Linked DNA regions of Anolis sagrei. The protein of the gene in region 1 interacts with the protein of each later gene in a biochemical or structural test. Links are inferred from orthologs where the notes say so. Each region holds a gene or a part of one and is shown on either strand. Other genes may lie near its edges.

Region 1 (10,259 bases):
AGCCCGACTGCTCACTGGAGGGAAAGATACTAGAGACAAAGTTGAAGTACTTTGGCCACATCATGAGGAGACAGGAAAGCCTAGAGAAGACAATTATGCTGGGGAAAGTGGAAGGCAAAAGGAAGAGGGGCCGACCAAAGGCAAGATGGATGGATGGCATCCTTGAAGTGACTGGACTGACCTTGAGGGAGCTGGGGGTGGTAACGGCCGACAGGGAGCTCTGGCGTAGGCTGGTCCATGAGGTCACGAAGAGTCGGAGACGACTGAACGAATGAACAACAACAACAAGCTGTTCTTGCTTCCAGTTCCTGTGTGGCATAGTTTGGAGTCATGTAACCTTGCCTTTGGATATCTCTGTGGATTGACTTTGGAGACTTTCTTTTAATAAATTTTTGGACTCTCAGCATTTATGGAAATAACATTTTGAACTTTGATTCTCTCTTTTGAATTTGCTTGCTTTTTATATATTCTGCCTTTAATAAACTTTTACTTATTGGATTATATGGACAGTGTGTGGTTTGTAGTGAAAAGAGGCTTCAGGGCCCTAGTGAAACAGCAGCAATGGCAGCAACAACAGCAACAATCGACACAAACAAGTGTGGCTATCCAGTAGTAGAGCCTAACCAGGCTAAGCCCAACTGGGCAATCCAGACTTAATCCTGCTACTGCACAACGAAATGGGAAAGAGGAGGGTTCAATCTGGAGTACTGCCACTCCAGATTTAGGACATATTAAATGGCTCTTATAGAGGGACCCATCATTATCACTTTAGGGCGGAAACTAGCATGGTATATAGGTTAGACCAGGGGTCCTCAAACTATGGCCTGGGGGCCGGATACGGCCCTCCAAGGTCATTTACCCGGCCCTCGCTCAGAGTCAACCTTAGTCTGAAATGACTTGAAAGCACACAACAACAACAACCATCCTATCTCATCAGCCAAAATCAGGCCCACACTTCCCATGGAAATACTAATAAGTGTATATTTGTTAAAATTGTTCTTCATTTTAATTATTATATTGTTTTCATGTGGTTTTTGCACTACAAATAAGATATGTGCAGTATGCATAGGAATTCATTCATGTTTTTTTCAAATTATAATCCGATCCTCCAACAGTTTGAGGGACTGTGACCTGGCCCTCTGTTTAAAAGGTTTGAGGACCCCTTGGGTTAGATTATTAGATGAAGATGGAGCTCTCCCGCACCTTGAGCTTGATTTTCTTCACAAGGCTACTTTGACCTTCTTAGAGAAAATAAAAACTATGACTGTTGCAAGCAATTAATTAACCAACCAACCAACCATTACCACACTTTCTTGAAGGCACTTGTACAGTATGTATAGGCACTATGTAACAATAAGACAATACACCCACATGGAGACAGCACATCCTCATTTGGAAAGGGTTATCATTAGCAATCGCAACCTCATTATATTTCACTTGGCGTGATGCAGTCTTGAGGCAATATAAGCAAGTTAAACACTTCAAAACTATAAAATAATTACAATACATTTTAAAAGAGCTTAATCATCTTGAAAATAGGTTTAACAGGTTAGAACAGTCTAAAACCTAGTGCCTAAGTATCTTAGAGTGAGTCACTTACTCCCCAAATGCTTCTTATATTAGTCATGTTGATATATGGCACCTATATAAAGTTTTAATTGGCACCAGGTAAAGGCATTCCACAAGTGGCATATTACAAATGAGAAAGCCTCACACAGCATTGATCATATCAATGGGATACATAAGAGATCCCTTCTGGCAGGCTCTGTCATTGGGCAGACATATATAGAGATGAGTACTTCATTTCCCTGTATGTTTACAATAAGCATATTTAGGCAAAATCTAAGGAATAGCCATTAAGCTTTATGGAAGGGTGACCTAAGTGTCTGCTGCACTCAGTATGTGAGTAATGTCCAGGCCAGGCATGTATACCTTTCACACTTTAGTTGTGAGCTCTGTAAAGAACACTGTAAAGAATAATTTATTGCCTTGTTATTGATTAATTGTGCAATATGCTATTACTTATGCATACCACTCTGTAATTGACAGGCGTAGGCATAATTGGTTTACCCTGGCATGAACTTTCACAGAGGGTTCTTTGCTTTCTCTTATGCCTTGTTATTGATGAATTGTGCAATTTGCTATTACTTATATATACCACTCTGTTATTGACAGGCATAGGCATCATTGGTTTACCCTGGCATAGCTTTTGCAGAGGGTTCTTTGCTTTCTCTTATGCCTAAAGTGCACTGAGTTTCTTTTTCAATATTTTGAAACCAGAAGAAGGAGAATCCTGCCAAACTAAGGCAAGTTTGCTACCGGGCACAATTCAAAGTGCTAGCTTTAGCCTATAAAGCCCTAAACGGTTCTGGCCTAACTTACCTGTCTGAACTCACCGTCTCCTCTGAACCAGCTAGGGTGTTAAAATCGTCTGGGGAGGCCCTGCTCTCGGTCCCGCCAGCGTCACAAGTATGTTTGGCGGGGACGAGGGACAGGGCCTTCTCAGTGGTGGCCCCTCAGCTGTGCAACGCCCTCCCTACAGATATTAGATCACCCTCCTCCCTGTTGACATTTCGGAGGAAAGTGAAGACCTGGTTGTTCGAGCAGGCATTTGAATAGGCAGTGTAACGAACATAGGAATATGGAACAATTGGATTATGAGACTGGATCTTGATTTTAACTATGAGACGCTAATGAGATGTTTAATTGACTTATATTGACTGTTTATTATGCTATTGTTTTAATTGTTTATAACTGTTTTATGATTTTTTGAGCATTGCATTTTGCTATTGTTAACCGCTCTGAGTTGCCCCAGGGCTGAGAAGAAAATATAGTAAATAAATAAATAAATTTATTCTAGAAAGTATGGATTTATAATCTATGTATCTTGGCTTGCTGATGGTGATTAGCAATTTGTGGAAAAAAATTATTTTGACATTATAAATTAATATAATGTCCCAGCTTTTTAACGTCAGCTTGTTACTATTATATTGGTTGCACAGTACAGAGTCCCAGTCTCCCAAAAGTAACAATATTTATTATAACTGTTTACATGTCACCCTTTTAAGTTTTTTATCAGAAGTTTGCTTGATCATCTAATTCAACATTCAAACAGAGAATTCTCAGTTGGCACTCAATTGCTTTTCTGACAGTGGTAGTCCAATATCTCCTACTGAAAACTGTGCCACTACTGATAATCCCATTATTACCATTTCCCTGCATTACCCTTCCTCTTTCACCCTGCTTTCCTTCCAGCACACAAATATTTTGACTCCCTCTCTTGCCTTTCAGTTTGGCTGCCTATGCCATCTATTCTTACATAGAAATATTGGCACATGGTGCAGCAGCAGGATATGAAGAAGGATGATAGAAGAGGAGGAGGTAGTAGAAAGTTAAGGTCAGGCACCCTCAAACTACAACCCTCACTCCAGCTGTTTGTGTCTCTAGCTCCCAGAATTCTTGACTATTGAACAAGCTGGCTACGGCTTAGACTCATAGAATCATAAAGTTGGAAGAGACCTCATGGCCATGCAGTCCAACCCCCTGCCAAAAAGCAGGAAAATCACATTCAAAGCACTCCTGACAGATCGCCATCCAGCCTCTGTTTAAATGCCTCCAAAGAAGGAGCCTCTGCCACACTCCGGGGCAGAGAGTTCCGCTGCTGAACGGCTCTCACAGTTAGGAAGTTCTTCCTAATGTTCAGATGGAATCTCCTTTCTTGTAGTTTGAAGCCATTGCTCCATGTCCTAGTCTCCAGGCAGCAGAAAAAAAGCTTGCTCCCTCCTTCCTATGACTTCCCTTCACATATTTATAAATGGTTATCATGTCTTCTCTCACCCTTCTCTTCTGCAGGCTAAACAGCTAGAGGATGCCTGGTTATGATAATAACTCAGCCAATGAGGCAGGAGAAAAGAAAATGAGGGAGAAGTACAAGGGAACTTTAGAAAAAGAAAGGAGTTGAGGATGGAAAGTGTGTTTGGTGGTACCATGTAAGGAAACAGATAAATGAGGATGTGCAGGAGATGTGGTGAGTTAAAAGGGAAGGCGATCAAGCAAAAAGGGTGGTTGTCAGGCAATGAGGAAAAGAAGCAGCACAATTCACAATGTCCAGTGCTCTTCTTCCTCCAGCAAATCAATGAATGGCAAGAATAGAAATGACTTAGATCTTATTACACCACTAAAGTGTGATTTCTATAGGCATAGTATCCTTAAAATTGATACATGTCGTTTCCATGATTTCACTTGTTCACTTCGGCCTCCTGTACAAACTACCACTTCTTTTCAGCATCTCTAACATTCACAGGAACATACCCACCATGGATATTGGAGGGGATTGTCCTGTATTTCACCCCCCACCCCATCTTCCTTACTAGTACTTGCTTGGCCTCTGTCCCTCACTTTTTCCCCTCCGTGATGCTGCAGGAGGAAGACAGTGTGGCACAGAGTGAGGGAGCAACAAGGGAGTGTTTCACCATTGGCAGTGCTGTGCCCCCCCCCCCCCCAAGGATGAAAACTGGAGATAGCAGCAATAATGGTTCTGTAGGAAATGAAATTTTGGGGAACTGATGCCTTAGGGTATTTGGGTCCAGTTTGATCTTGGCAACCCAAAGAGAAACTGGATTGACTCCACTGAATATGTCATTTCTGCAAATAGCCCTGTTTCGAATTCAAATTTCTTCCCAAGAAGATCCAAAAGCAAACAAAGGTGGTGGCTTTGTACCTTGGTGTGGGGGCTGCTTCTTGGGGGGAGGCTGCCAACAAGGAGCAGATTCTTTAAGGGTTGTTTTCAGTGTTACAGATCACCAAAACGAATGGGCTTGAAACCCTTGAGGAAGTACACTGTTTCTTCCAAATACCATATATGTTTTTTCCATGTCAAGCATGACTTGAGAAACTGCAAGTTGTTTGTGGTGTGAGAGAATTGGCTGTCTGGAAGGACATTGCCCAGGGGGTGCCTGGATGTTTTGATGTTTTAGCATCCTTGTGGGAGCCTTCCCTCATGTCCCCGCATGAGGAGCTGGAGCTGACAGAGGAAGCTCTACCCACTCTCCCCAGATTCGAACTACTGACCTGTTGGTCATCAGTTCTCCTGGCACAAGGGTTTAACCCATTGTGCCACTGGGGCTCCCAAAGACCAATTGAAGGCACATGTATGTATACTGTATACCTTGTAGAAGGAAGGCAGTTTGACCAGAGGTCAGCTGCCATGGCTCCTTGCTACTGGATTTTAGTTGGGTGAGCCACCAGAGAAGGAGAAAGACTTTGTGAAATGTAATGGTATAGAACACATCGTCATGGCAATGAAAGTGGGGTTAAATTGCATTCATCCGACAGTGTAGATCAGGCTTGGGCAAACTTGGGCCCTCCGGGTGTTTTGGACTTCAACTCCCACCATTCCTAACAGTCACAGGCCCCTTCCTTTTCCCCCTAGATGCTTAAGCTTAAACCTGTTAGGAATGGTGGGAGTTGAAGTCCAAAACACCCGGAGAGCCCAAGTTTGCTCAAGCCTGGTCTAGATGCCCTCGTAGGCGATTTCAACCAGACAGTCCTGGTGTCCGGAGCTTGTTGCGGATAAGCGAAGACCTGGTGCCAGGTCAGGCACGATGGGCGTGGACGGCTGGGTGGGTGGACCTCGAGGCGTCGGGGAAGCCCCGTGGGCGGCTGCTGTCCCTCCTCAGGAGACAGGAGCCGGGGCCCCTCGCCCGGTATGAAAGCGGGGCGGGCGGGAGGAGGAGGCGGCAGAGAGAGGCAGGCGCTCTTCTTTCTCTCCCGCGACGTGTCCCGCGCGCCTTCCCTGGGACTCACTCAGTCAGAGCCGGCCAGCGAAGGAAGGAGTGAGTGAGTGAACGAGCGAGTGAGCGGCCCTCGGGGGAATCTTCCCGCGCGAGTCTGGGCAGCTCGCTCCTCGGCTTTGATGGCGCTAGGACCCAGGCGGAGCGCGAGCGGGAGGCCGAGGGAGAGCGCCCCCGGGGCTGCGTGAGTCAGTCCGACCGACCTACCGTCCGACCATCCGTCCGAGGAGCGCCGTCGGAGTCGAAGGGCAGCGCGCGGTGGATGAGGCTGGGGCGCGCGGTGGCGAAGTGGATGGCTCGCGGGCGCCGGGGGAGCGGCTCGAGGGTTCGCGGAAAGCGGGGCGGCCACGGAGAAGAGAGCAGCACCGGCACCAGCTCCTCCTGAAGGGGATCTCTCTCCACCTGCCCGCCGGAGGTGAGTGAGTGAGTGAGCGAGGGAGGGAGGGAGTGGGACCAGCACAGCCTGGGCGACTTGTGCCCCCGGGCAAACTCCAAGGGCGCCTCTTCTGTACTGTAGTCGAATGAATGCCGTTGAATGGGCAACACTTGAACTGCCCTTGAACTGGCTCGGGGCTGTCTTTCGCCTTTCAGAGATTCCAGACCACACATCCCAGGAGTGCCAAGCCTCTCCTTGGGGCCCTAAGCCACCCTTGGGAAATTGCTCCTTTTCTGTCTAAGGTACAGACAATACAGTTGGGAACTACATTATGGCGTTAGTGTAGGATCTATATACAGTAGAGTCTCGCTTATCCAACCTTCCCTCATCCAACATTCTGTATTATCCAATGTAGTCTGCTTCCTGCCCTGATCCACAGCTGTTTCAATACATTGCAATGTTTTGCTGCTAAATTCGTAAATATAGTAATTACTAGAAAACGTATCATGTACTGAACTGCTTCTTCTGTCAATTTGTTATAAAACATGTTTTGGTGCTTAATTTGTAAAATCAGAACATAATTTGGCATTATATAGGCTTTTGCTTAATCCCTCCTTATTATCCAACATTTTCGCTTATCCAGCATTGTTCCGGCCCATTTATGTTGGGCAAGCAAGACTCTACTGTAGTTGCATGCAGTTAAACTGCATTATATGGGTCTACACCACCCATAATCAGCCTTCCATGTGTTCTGGACCTTAACTCCCTTAATTCCTAACAGCCGATGGGAGCTAAAGTTGGGCCCACTTTCATCTTGGCAACCCAAAGAGAAACTGGATTCACGCCACTGAACATGCAATTTCTGCAAATGGCCCTGTTTCAACTTCCAAGCCCCATTCCCAAGAAGATCCAAAAGCCAACAGAAGTGGTGGCTTTGGAGCCAAGGAGCAGGTTCTTCAGGGGCTGTTTCCAATATTACAGGTCATCAAAACGAATGGGCTTGAAACACCTGGAGGGCCCAAGTTTGCCCATCCCTGGTCTATACTGACGCTATAATGCAATATCCAAATTGCAATATCTGGCAGTGTAGATCCAGGCAAAAATCCCTGGTTAAAAAGTCCCGCAGCCTCTATTAATAGCTCCAGGAGGGGAGTCTGGAGGGTAGGTTTGTTGTAAACCACTTTGAGTCCCCCCAGGGATAAGAAAAGCGGGATATAAATACAGTAAATAAATAACATAAATAGATTTGCAGCAGGCCTTTGCTAAGTGCAGGGTTCGTTTTCCAAAAACCAAGGGCACGAGAAGCCCATATTGATGCCATTAGTATGAAACACCACGCATGAATGTGACCTTCTGCTGTAAGTCAGTGCAAGATTGCCACTCTTTCCTCCTCTCCTTTACAGTTTTTAAGACAGCAATAGACACTGCATTTCTAAATCAGTTGATTCTCCCTCTTTTATCCCTCAAGCAATGAACTCCTCGCTGTCTGCCTAGCAGGGGCAGGATGGAAACGGATGGTATTCATTGATTTATGCTTCAGGACTGGGCTCTGTGTGTGAGTGAGTGTGTTTGACACCAGACAGTGGTTGAAAGAGTTGAAAGGGAGGGGGAAGGATAAGAAGAGTTTTGAATTTGCAGTTTGTTGGAAATTGGTGGCATTATTTCTCCTTCCACTGAACCTCAGAGCATTTCCATGTTTTCTCAGAATATTTGGAATTTTAAGAACAAATGCCTAAATAAGAGTGTGCTTGTTTGCTATGTGCTTTTCTGCAGTGTTGGAACTAGGAAAGTTTGCAGACATCAGAGGGTACTGGTGGAAAACCTTTTGTGGTATGAACTAAGGCTCTGTGTATGATTTCTTGTGTGAATCCCAGTAACAAAGTCTCTTCTGTTGACCTGAGAAGTTGCTAAAACTTTGAGATCCTGGTTGTTTTTGTTCTTAGAGATTTGTTCTTAAACTCCTCCTGACAGCTTCACTTGTGCAGATGCATTAAAGCCACCTGGTTTCAGTGATGTCTTCTGTTTGGTCAACAACTTCATAATTGGATTGTTGTGAGTTTTCCGGGCTGTATGGCCATGTTCCAGAAGCATTCTCTCCTGGCATTTTGCCTGCATCATTTTCCTAATTTCCAACAGACTCCAGAACCTCTGAGGATGCCTGTCATAGATGCAGGCAAAATGTCAGGAGAGAATGCTTCTGGAACATAGCCATACAGTCTGGAAAACTCACAACAACCTAGTGATTCCGGACATGAAAGCTTTTGACAATACAACTTCATAATTAAATGATTCAACCGTGATGACCTTTCTGTGTCATTGCATAGATAGAGTGCTGCAGTGAAATGAAATCTATAGACTGTAGTAAAATCACATCATGATGGTCCATGGAAGTATTATCTGAAAGATCTTAAACCAGGATAAATAAGTGCCAGGGGCCAGATGAGTTAGATGAGACACATGCCTTGGCGAAGAGAACGGGGACCGTAATCTCCACTTTCTGAATCACTGCTTAACAATCCAAGGAACATCTGGAGACATTGCTCAGCGATATAGTCACTTTCAAAGGGGTATGTGGAATTGGGATAATGATTATTCAACAACTTCAGAAATGCAGGGAACTCGCCCTAAAGGGACAGAATCTGTTTCATGGTAGAAGTCATGTTGACGGCTGCTCATTACTCCATCCCAGCACTAGATCAGCTCCGAGTTCACAGTTTTGCTTAACAGCATTCACCTGCTGCTGCTGCCGCCTCTTCTTGGTGAATTGATTTCAGATTCATTTAAAACATTGCCAGGAGCTCAAGGATTTTTCATCGCCCCATAAAAATGCTTTTATGGCCTACAGAGCCAGTCCCAGTTTTAAAGAAGGAGTATTTCATATATGCATTACATTGTCAGAGTTTAGATTCAAAAAATCTAGCCTCGTTCTGTGTTGATGTTACCTTTCTTTTATGGAACAAAATGAAGGCACAAATTAGAATGGTGTTGTCTGCTTAATGGGATAAAAATTACTTTGATAATGGTTTGCTGTGAATTTTCTGGGCTGTATGGCAAGGTTCCCGAAACATTCTCTCCTGACGTTTCACCCACATTGGCAGGCATCCTGAGGTCTGTTGGAAACTAGGCAAGTGGCATGTCCATTTGCGAACTAATACTTTGATATCAGTTTGTAATCACTCAGTAGACATCAAAATTATGTTGTGTTGCTTTCAAAAGAAGCAATGTTTCTTTCAAGATTCCTGTACATATTCATTATTTTCAGTTTAAGAGCTGAAATGTACTGTCTTGTTAGCACTAATGTATTTAGTCCTTCCAACCCCCAATTGAGGGGGGAAATGTTGCTCAAATGTCATCAAACAAAACTTACAGATTCTGTCACATCATTGGTTCAGTTTGTGGTTGGGAGGATGATGTAGTGTCTTTCCCAGAGCTCCAAACCACCACTTTCCATTTTTCTGATTTTTTTGGAAAAAAAGGTATCATTCCATTTAAAGCAATGGGGACCTCTGCTGGCAATTCCAATCTAGCAAATACACGCTGAGTGCAGTAATCTGATAAACATGAATTGTCCCTGATTGGTTTAATAACCTCCATTAAAGAAAGTTACAAAATGCTAAGTAAACATACCCAGAAATAAGTTGCATTGACATTAATGAGGTTTGCTTCTGAATAAATGCACTTATAGGGATTGAGCTGGAGTTTTTTTTTATAAACATTATTTTTTAAAAAATCTCTCCAGATGTGTTCTTAGGTTTTGTGTGGAACTGCGAGGCAGATTCTTTACAGATAAGATTTTTTGTTTTATGCTGTATGCCAGAAAACCCTCCTGATTTTGTCTGCAGAGTGGAGGAGTAATTTTAATAATACAACAAAATTTCAGGGTCGGGAAATTGTGCCACATTTCATTCTGGCATTTCAGATGGAAACAGTTGACTCTGTTATAGGTTAAACATTAAACCGTTCATCGTCTGGAATTAATTAATCTACAGAAAGACAAGTGGGGCTTTTGGGTCTCCCCCACTCCAGCCTTTGTATGATTATCAAGAAACAAAAGAATTACACAATTAAGTTGTTTGTGAATTAAAAGAGAG
Region 2 (10,251 bases), on another chromosome or scaffold:
TGACTTTTACCTCAGCCACATTGTTTTATGATGTTGTCTTGACTGTATTTTGTTTTATTATTATACTTGATTGGTTTCAATGCATTGTATTTTATCTGTGATTTTTGGGCTTGTGTCCTTTGTTTGGTTATTTCCAGTTGCTAAACCTTTTTGGATTATATATATTTCTTATTCTGGTTTTTATATGCTTTTTATATGTTTTTACAATAATCAGTTTGCTTGTATTCCTAGACTCTTGTGTGGTGCAGTGGTCATAGATGTTTCCAGACCTGGAGTGCAACACCAAAGGCAAATTCTTTAAACTATAGCCATTTAAAAGATGCTTCTGATGTGTATTTGTATTTTTTTTAAGATATACTTTATTTCATCCATCATCAGCCCTAGGTTTAGAGAAGATTTATCAATGTAAGAGGGAACTTCCTGAGTAAATGGTCAAGCTGGTATTCATTATTAAAGCCATCAGAAATTTAATGAGCAACTAGAGAGTCCACTGCAGCCAAATCATACTCCAGCGTGCTGCTGAAGTGCTACAGCCAGCATCTCCTGTCTCTCCAGAATTGCTTTGGGTAAAATACAGAAGTTATGGTGTTTGAAAATGTCTTTCTTTAAACAAGTAGGCAATGTAGTCTTTCATGGCCACAGGACTGGAACTGAGATGGCAGATGCTTTCATGAACGAAAGAGGCAAGGCAGGCCAGGCCAAATCCAGTTAGCTCTGAGCTTGCGCATAAAAGAAGGATAATTTTGTTGAGTAAGACAATAAGACCTTTGTTTCTGTTATTATTGATCTTATAGAGGACGCAGAAAGGAGTTGTCTGAGATCAGGCAAGAGAAAAACATCTTGAAAATGCTCAGACTAAAACAAAGTGGTTTAAAAATAGGGCTGGACTAGCCATTAAGCAGCATGAACCAACTGCTTCAGGCAACAGTTTTTAAAAGGAGACTCCTTTTCCTGAGTTTTCTCCATCAGTGTGCAATTGTACATACTTCAGAGCATTTCGACTTTTGAAAATTCAAGTTCAAAAACATTTTTAACATATAGAAAGGGCTATGCTTTCCTGTATACGTGTCATTTCAAGTTGCCTGCTGACTTGGTGGTGACCCAAGAATTGCCTAGGGTTTTCGTAGGCTGAAAAATTGTCTACTGACATTTGTTGGCAGTCTCCTGTCACCAGGGCTGAATCTGATTCTCTTCCAAGATCAGATGGGCGCATTTAGAGCATTTAGGCCACCCCTTTTGGCATCTATCTTGACCATATTATGCCTCTGTTAATTTACAATATTGTTCTGACATGTTATATTATGCAGGGCAAGGAAGGTGGTGCTTGAGGGTGGAAAATCCCAATGGATGTTCCCTCCCACTGCTGACCTTTTACTGACATTCCAGCAACTGGTCCAGCCCATGAATAGAGAGGGCAAATGCAGTGCAGGGGAGCTGTATGAAGTTTGTTCAGAAGAACATCCCAGCAACTTGAGCCTCATAGGTCAAATTTGTCTGCTTTCCACACCATCTGCCTTCACAATACCACCCATGAAGGAGATGTTGTCTTATCTCCTGGTAGAATGGGCTCTCTTATGAAATAATCTGGGATGTAGGGCAGGGTGTATAAAACAATGGAAGATTGAACTTTGGCTAAGTCTATGGTCATCACTCTGGTCAATTTTCCTTCCTTTTCAAGCATTCCCTATTTTGGTCTTCATTTTTCCCTCAGCTAGAAGAGAGCCAATGATGAAGACAGTGACAATTGATGCTGTTTATGGACAAGTGAATCCGCTCTGGAATTTTGTCTATATATCTATTTTGGAACAGGGTGTTGTATCTTGGTTAGCTCATGCAAATTTCAAACTAAAAGCCAGAGCAGATTTACATATGCACAAGCTCCAACAAGGAATCCACTAGCTAGTGGTTCCCAACTTGTGGTCCTTGCACCACTAGTGGTCCTCAAGAACAAAAAATATGGTCCACAGCCTCACCATTACTACACCATTGCAACGAGAGCAACTGGCCTCGCGAAAACCTCTTATAGTACCGAGGCTTATTAAATATGGTTTTCTGTGGGTGAGCAGATGGTGACTACTGGATGGCATATGTTCTGTATCAGAAACTAGAGCTGATATGGTCTATCCAATGCAACCTTTTGAATCAGCACCCCAAATAACCAAACCGAATCTAAGTTGACCAAAAACTGATTTGTAACCCTTTTGGTAGTAATGTTGGAGAGTGGTCCCTGGTCAAAGTGGTTCCTGTTCAAGTGGTCCCTTGTCAAGTGGTGCCTGTTTAGGTGGTCCCTGGTCAAATGGTCCCTGGTTAAAGTGTCCCTGGTTCAAGTTGTCCCTGGTCAAAGTGGTCCCTGGTCAAGTGGTCCCTAGTCAAAGTGATTCCTGGTCAAGTAGTCCCTGTTCAAGTGGTCCATGGCCAAAGTGGTCTTTTGTTCAAGTGGTCCCTGGTCAAGTGGTTTCTGGTCAAGTATTTAAAACATTTATATTCCGCCCTTCTCACCCCAAAGGGGACTCAGGGCGGAGCATATATATGGAAAACATTCAATGCCAGAACAATAATTAATTGTATGCATACATAAACATTCAAAACATTTATCTTGATATTTTCTTTACCCATGCCTGTCTAATGCTAAGAGAATATGACTTGCCCATGGTCACCTCATGAATTTTTATGGGCGACTTCAGCTCTCCAGATTTGGGAGTCCCACATGCAAACTACTATCTTGAGGAATTACCAAGCCACCTAAGGCCACCCGTAAGTTGCTATGATTGAGTTTAGATTCAAACGCTGGTCTCCAGATTCATTGTCCAAACACTCAGACTCCCTTTACACTGCTATATAATCCACATGATCTGCTTTGAACTGGATTATATGAGCCTACACTGCCATATAATCCAGTTCAAAGCAGATAATCTGGATCTTATATGGCAGGTAGAAGGAGCTTAGTTGGCTTCTATTTTGCATATCCTTCAGAAATCGGGTGTCCTAACAAATTTGTGAACATCCTGCGGCTCCTCCATGATGACATGATGGCAACAGTCTTGGACAGCAATGGTTCCCAAAGTGACCCATTTAAGGTGGAATCAGGTGTCAAACAGGGATGTATTATTGCCCCAACTTTATTCTCCATCTTCATTGCTATGATGCTTCACCTTGTTGACTGGAAGTTTCCCACCAGAGTGGAAATCATCTATAGGACAGATGGCAAGCTATTTAACCTCAGCAGCCAGAAAGCCAAAACTAAGGTCACAACACCATCTGTTATAGAATTCCAGTATGCTGATGACAACATCATCTGTGCGCAATCAAAAGAAGATCTACAAGCCACTCTATACACCTTCACAGAAGCATACGAGAAGCTTGGCATGTCATTGAACATCGAGAAAACCAAAGTGCTCTTCCAGCAGTCACCAGCCAATCCCTCTCCAATGCCAGAAATACAGCTTAATGGTGTGACATTAGAAAACGTTGACAATTTCCTCTCCCTTGGCAGCTACCTCTCCACAAAAGTCAACATTGACACCGAAATACGACACCGCCTGAACTCTGTGAATGCAGCTTTTTCTGAATGAAGCAGAGAGTGTTTGAGGACCAGGACATTTGTAGGGATACCAAGGTTCTTGTTTAGGGTTAGGGTTAGGGTTAGGGTTAGCGGCCGACAAGGCACTCTGGCATGGGCTGGTCCATGGGGTCACAAATAGTCGAAAACTATTGATTGAATGAACAACAACAAACTCAAAGAAGCTACCTAAGTTTGCTGGGTGAATAAGGTTCAGTCCCTTTTGAAAATGTCTTTAAATGTTAGACTAAAATCCTGATTGAATCACTACCATACTGAAATGGAATTCATCAGCCAGAACTGAGATGCAGTGAGGAAAAAAACCCCTATTATTCCAATTAGTGCAGGAGTCTGGACAAAGTCAGGAGTGAGAGCTAAAGAGCAACAAGGATCAGGGGAAAGTCAAGAGGCAGGACCAGAGAACAAGACAATGCTTGTTTCAGTTGGTTTTGTTAAAGGAATTATCCAAGGTGCTAAACCTATTTGGATTCACCAAAATAGATTTAGCACCTATGATCCAGACGTTTTCCAGCTTTCCAAGACCTAAATGACGTGTGGAATGGGGGAGATGATCGCAAATTGTGCCTTCTGGAGATCCCTGAAGACAAAATTCTCTATTTTTGGCTAGAAAACTTTAGTTTGCGCATATGGAAGGCAGAAAGACAGGGGCAATGAAGGGATCCTGTGAGAGCATATTATTAGACTAGATAACCCATTATTGTTGTGTGCTTTCAGTTTTTCTCCAACTTATGTCGACTCTATCATAGAATTTTCTTGGCAAGATTTATTCACAGGAAGGTTGCTTTTGCCTCTGCTGAAGCTGAGAGAGTGTGACTTCCTTAAGATCATCCAGTGGGTCTCTGTGGCTGAATGGTGATTCGAACCCTAGTCTTCAGATTCATAGTCTACTCCGAACTCAAGAACGGAGAACGGAATGTTGGTGGGCAGGAAAAGAGATTTAAAGATGGGCTCAAAGCCAACCTTAAAAACTCCGGCATAGACACTGAGAACTGGGAAGCCCTGGCCCTTGAGTGCTCCAGCTGGAGGTCAGCTGTGACCAGCAGTGCTGCAGAATTTGAAGAGGCACGAATGGAGGGCGAAAAAGAGAAGCATGCCAAGAGGAAGGTGCATCAAGCCAACCCTGCGGAAGAAGATGCAGATCAAGAATAGAGCTCCACAGTCACCTACGGATCTACTGCCAGTACACCAATCTTGGAAGACTATCCTACTTGGACAATGAGGGATCGCCTAAGAAACGTAAGGAAAAGTAGCATCTCCATAATGCAGGATCTTGAAGAGGGGACTCAAATTTCCACAGGAAATTCATTCTCCTTATATACAGGCAAATATTTACGGTATTTTTTAATCATTTTGCCCATTAAACAAAGTGTGTCCCTTGGACCATCTATAAGCAAAGGCATCACTCTTTCAGCCAACCATGCTGGAGCATTTCAGCTCTGGGAGAGTGCGTTTGAAGCGACTTCCACACCTTGATAGAGTTCCCCACCTTTGAGAATGAACCTTTGGGAGAATTTTAGAAGATAATATGGGAGTCCGTTGAAAATGCAAGGCAAGGCGGGTGCCTTTTTCGGCGGCGTGCTCGCCTTGGGGAAGCTTTGGCTGACGAGGAGAAAAGGGGAGGCGCTCCCCGCTCTCCGTGGCGTGGATTTGAAGCCACCCAGCCAGTGGGAGGAGAGCATTGATCGCTTTAATAATCATCATAACAGTAATCGGAATAATACAAAAAAAGGGGGCTGAGCTTCCCAGTTACAGAAAGCAGGTGCTGTCCGGGCTGCCTCTCAGTTTCAGCAACTGCTGGAAAGGCGGCGGCGGCAGCGGGCTCCGGGCTCCGAGGCGCCCCCAAAGCGCTCTACCGGGGCATGTAGAGGAAGAGTCCCGCCTCGGCTTCTTCTCTAGCCTTCGTCCTCCTCCTCTTCTTCTTCCTCCCCTCGGCTTCCCTCGGGGAACCACGACCATGGAGCAGGAAAAGAAGCCGCACCAGCAGCACCGGCACCGGATCGCGCTCCTCCTGGGCTTCTTGCTGCTGGCCGCGGTGAGTGGAAACGGGCCCGAGCGGCACCCACGGTCTACCCTATCCAAAGTCTACCCTTTTCTCCCTCCTGAAGGGGAAAGGAGAGAAGTAGGGAGCGAGTCTCAAAGGGGCGCAAATCCCCATTTCTGAGTGGTTTGTTGTGGGAGGCTTGCACTATTGCTTTGGAAAGCCCTGCGGGGGAATGATGGGTTTTTTTAAGGGAGTTTGTTGTTGTTTCTCCTCCTCTTCTTTTTCTACTTCTCTTCCTTCTCCCTCTAACACCACTACTTCTTCTTCTCCCTCTTCCTCCTCCCTCTACCACTACTATTAGTACTACTACTGCTTCTTCTCTTCCCTCTCCTCTCTCCTTCTTCCTCCTCCTTCCATCACCACCACCGTTGATGCTACTTCTCCACCACCTTTCTCCTCCTCCTAACTCTACTAACCCAATTTCTTCTCTTCTGCTTCTTCCTCCTCCCCTCCTCTACTTCCTCACTCTACCTCTACTTCTTCCTTCCTTCCTCTTCCTCCTCCTCCTCCTCCTCCTCCTCTACCACCCGTTTCTTCTGCTGCTGCTTCCTCCTCCTCCACCTCTTCTTCTTATCCCCTCCCCTCTTCCTCCTCTTCCTCTCCTCCTCGTAACTAGCATCCGTTTCTTCTGCTGCTTCTTCCTCCTCCTCACTCTACCTCTTCTTATCCCCTCCCCTCCTCCTCCTCTTCTTCCTCCTCTTTCTCTCCTCCTAACTCTACCACCCGTTTCTTCTGCTCCTTCCTCCTCCTCCTAACTCTACCACCCGTTTCTTCTGCTTCTTCTTCTTCCTCCTCCTCTTCACTTACTTCTTCTTATCCCCTCCCCTCTTCCTCCTCTTCCTCTCCTCCTAATTCAGCCACCCGTTTCTTCTGCTCTCTCTTCTTCTTCCTCCTCACTCTACCTCTTCTTCTTATCCCCTCCCCTCTTCCTTTTCCTCCTCTTCCTCTTCTTCTAACTCTACCACCCGTTTCTTCTGCTCTCTTCTTCATCCTCCTCCTCCTCACTCTACCTCTTTTTACCCCCTCTTCCTCCTCATTCTACCAACCGTTTCTTCTGCTGCTTCTTCCTCCTCCTCACTCTACCTCTTCTTCTTATCCTCTCCCCTCTTCCTCTCCTCCTCCTAACTCTGCCACCCCTCATTCTTCTGCTTCTTCCTCCTCCCCCTTCTCCTCTGTCTCTTTCTACCACCAGTTTGTTGCTTCTCTTCCTCCTCCTCCTCCTTCTAAGTCTACCACCAGTTTCTTGTCTCTGTTTTCTCCTCCTCCTCACTGCCTCTTCTTCTTTCTCCTCCTCCTCTCCACCTAACTGTCACCCGTTTCTTCTTCTTCTTCTTCTTCTTCTTCTTCTTCTTCTTCTTCTTCTTCTTCTTCTTCTTCTTCTTCCTCCTCCTCTTCCTCACTTTACCATTTCTTCTTCTACCCCCCCCCCCTTCTTCTCCCTCCTCTGCCTTTCTTCTTTCTCCTCCTTCTTGGATGCCAGAGCGCTCCAGGACGTGGTTGGCTCCTGGGTCATGAGTCCGTTTTGGGGTGTGTGGGTATCCTGGGTGAACTTTTTTGTGGGAAGTGAGGTTAAGGGGAGTGACGAGTCCTTCTCCCCTACTCAGGTTCCCCATGAGAAAGAGTGAGAGGAAGCGGGGAGGGGGGAGAGGAGGGGGATTTTGATGCGCCCCAAGACTGTCTATTCCTTCCAAACCAGTGCGGATGGTCCAGGAGGGGCGAAGGGTGGATGGGTGGGTCTTCCCGAGAACAACAACATGAAGAAGAGGGCATCACCACGCCTCCCACTTCTATATAATGGCATCCTTCCTCGGAGACACTATAAGGCTTGAGAGACCGGAGGGAAGGGCTGGGGAGAGTTGCCTTTGAGGCTCTCACTTCCTTAGCAATACTTGGATGCTGCTGTTTCCTACCAATGCTGGCACCAAAGTGAATCTCTAACAGGGCTTTCTTGGCAAGATTTCTTCAGAGGCTTCCTCTGAGGCTGAGAGAGTGTGCCTTGTCCAAGGTCATCCAGTGGGTTTCTAAGACTGAGTAGGGATTTCAAATCTGGTCTCCAGGGTCACCCTTCAAGCCAGGACACCACACTTTTAGCAGCAATACCAGGCAGATTTTTGAATATATTGTAATACAATGACATTTGTAATATTATAGCCTGCCTCTGTCATATTGGTTATCCCTACTAAGCAGTTGACCAAGCTGTTGATTGACCAGAGAGCAGTGAAGCAAATCTAATTGCTTTAATGGGTCTCTTCTAGCAGCAACTATTGTGCTTCCCTTTAAGGCAGGGGAAATATTGTGAGCTGGAGTTACAATCTGGGGCAAAAAAGTGAATGGAGATATTTTTTTAAAAAAACAGCTTCTATTTGAAAATGTCAAAGTGTGCCAGGGCTTGTGGGAGGGATGTATTTATGACTACAGTCCTTACACTTACTCTGGTCCCATTGTATTCAAAGGATTTTACTTTAGAGTAAATGTGTTAACAGATTGCTCTACAATATTTTGAAAATCCCAGCAAGAACTGGGAAAGGTGCTCTAGGGACTGAGGAATGGATCCAAAAATGTATCAAGGGAAAGAGTCTTTAATGCTCATGTTTGATATCTACCGATATTATAAATACAGTGTGATGCTGGACTTTGGACCCTGGGAATCAGGGTTCGAATCCTGCTCAGCCATGGAAACCCATTGGATGACCTTACAGCACTCACACCCTCTCAGTGTCAGAGAAAGGCAATGTTACCCACCCCCAGACAAATCATGCCAAGAAAAGCCTGGGATAAGTCTGTTTTAGAGTTGCCATAAATTGGAAATGACTCAAAGGCACACAAGAAGGAGAAGAATATACTGTGGACAGCATCACACTAGAGAATGAACCCACTTTAAATCTGGTTTCTGCCTTCTACAGAATTCTGAGCTTTGTAGTTTAGTGAGGTGTTAAAGGCTCCTCCCTAAACTACAAACCCCACAATTCGGCAGGAGGCAGCCACTGTATTTAAAGTGGATTCATCCTCTAGTGTGATGAAGTAGGGTTTTTTTTTAATGCAGAAGCATTACTTCAACCCTTAATTGTGATTATAAGATATCAGCATCACCATCACCATCTTCATCATTGCTATTGTGGAGCCCCCTTGTGCTGGCAGGTCAGCCATTCAAATCTGAGGAGTGGGGTGAGCTCCCACCTGTCAGCTCTAGCTTCTCATGCAGAACATGAGAGAAGCTTCCCACAGGTTGGTAACACATCCAGGCGTCCCTTGGACAACGTCCTTGCAGATGGTCAATTCTCTCACACCTGAAGCAACTTGCAATTTCTCAAGTCGCTCCTGAAAAATTGCTATTGTGTCAGTATCATTGTGGGATGCAAGGGAGAACAGGATGGTTACCCTATTAGAGGAAGTGTAAAGGTATTCATTATCTATAATGCAAGTGGAGACCAAATTCTTACCCATATTTCTTTTCCTTTCCGATAGATAAAGCAGGGTATACATAATAATAGCCACTCAACAACACTGTTTTTTGATTGGTTTAACCTTGATTAATTTGCAAGTGAGGCTAAACAGAGGACCTCGAATTTGTGCCCATAACTCTAGGCACACCCTAGGGCAGTTTGGCAGTAAAGAAAATCTATATATGATCAGAGGCTGCCTTTCCTTTGTTCCTATCACCTTCCTTTTTCTGGATAGTTAATATGAAAAACAAATGTCTAAGGTTAAGGCTTTGCTTAAATTAACATTGTTTGAAGGAAACAATGTAGAGGGATGTCACAGTAAGAGATGGGCCATGGGTTATGGGGATGATAGGCATTTGGGTTTGAATAGTTGAATGCAAGAAGCAGATGTCAGGACTTTACCACAAGATCTGGCATTATGGCAGGTATTTGAGAGGGAAGTCTTAGTTTCTATAACCAGGCATCTTTCTTAACATTATACTAAGAGTTCGGTAGAAATCAGGCAAAGAATTGGAAAACTTCGTTCTTGGATTACAGCTCTCAGAATCCTCCAATCCAGAAAGTCACTGGGTGTAAGAATCTGTGGGTTATAGCCTCAAGTTCATGGCTATGATGATGGGGGAATCTGGAAACTGTAATTCACAAAGTGACATTTCCAAGCTGTGATTCAGTTCTGGTATCCATTTTAAGGGTGCATTCTGAGGTGAATTAAATAGTCTTCACATGCTCACAAGCTGAGAATGTTTTGAGCATGTGAAGAGAATGTGTGCCAAATTTTTTTGTACCTCATAAACACAAGCAAGCCATACTAGGAACTCGGAGAAGAGTTTCTAATATGTGTACTTATATTTTGTTTTAAATATATATTTAAAACTCATACCACTGAGCTATGAATATCCAGAGCATCCTAGAGTCAGCTGCATAAAGTTTTCAAAATTATTCAACTGTGGTGGCGGCAGAGTAGAACAAGGCAAGAATAGAAAAAATGGATATGAATGACTTAGACCAGGGGTCCTCAAACTTTTTGAACAGAGGGCCAGGTGATAGTCCCTCAAACTGTTGGAGGGCCGGATTATAATTTGGGAAAAAAACATGAATTCCTATGCACACTGCACACATCTTATTTGTAGTGCAAAAACACTTAAAAATACAATAATTAAAATGAAGAACAATTTTAACAAATATAA

The links. The genes of interacting proteins can lie anywhere in the genome.
Region 2: the proteins of NGF (region 1) and NGFR form a complex in vitro, tested with the Homo sapiens proteins (2 studies listed by BioGRID and IntAct, with this or other methods). The link is inferred for Anolis sagrei from reciprocal best matches to the Homo sapiens genes NGF and NGFR.

Annotation. Positions count from the first base shown.
Region 1 is NC_090024.1:203,801,618-203,811,876, reverse strand, and holds the start of NGF (beta-nerve growth factor), read left to right. Parts: upstream 1-5,669; 5' UTR 5,670-6,207; intron 6,208-10,259. UniProt on the Homo sapiens protein: Nerve growth factor is important for the development and maintenance of the sympathetic and sensory nervous systems.
Region 2 is NC_090026.1:32,148,982-32,159,232, reverse strand, and holds the start of NGFR (tumor necrosis factor receptor superfamily member 16), read left to right. Parts: upstream 1-5,219; 5' UTR 5,220-5,534; coding exon 5,535-5,612; intron 5,613-10,251. UniProt on the Homo sapiens protein: Low affinity receptor which can bind to NGF, BDNF, NTF3, and NTF4. Forms a heterodimeric receptor with SORCS2 that binds the precursor forms of NGF, BDNF and NTF3 with high affinity, and has much lower affinity for mature NGF and BDNF.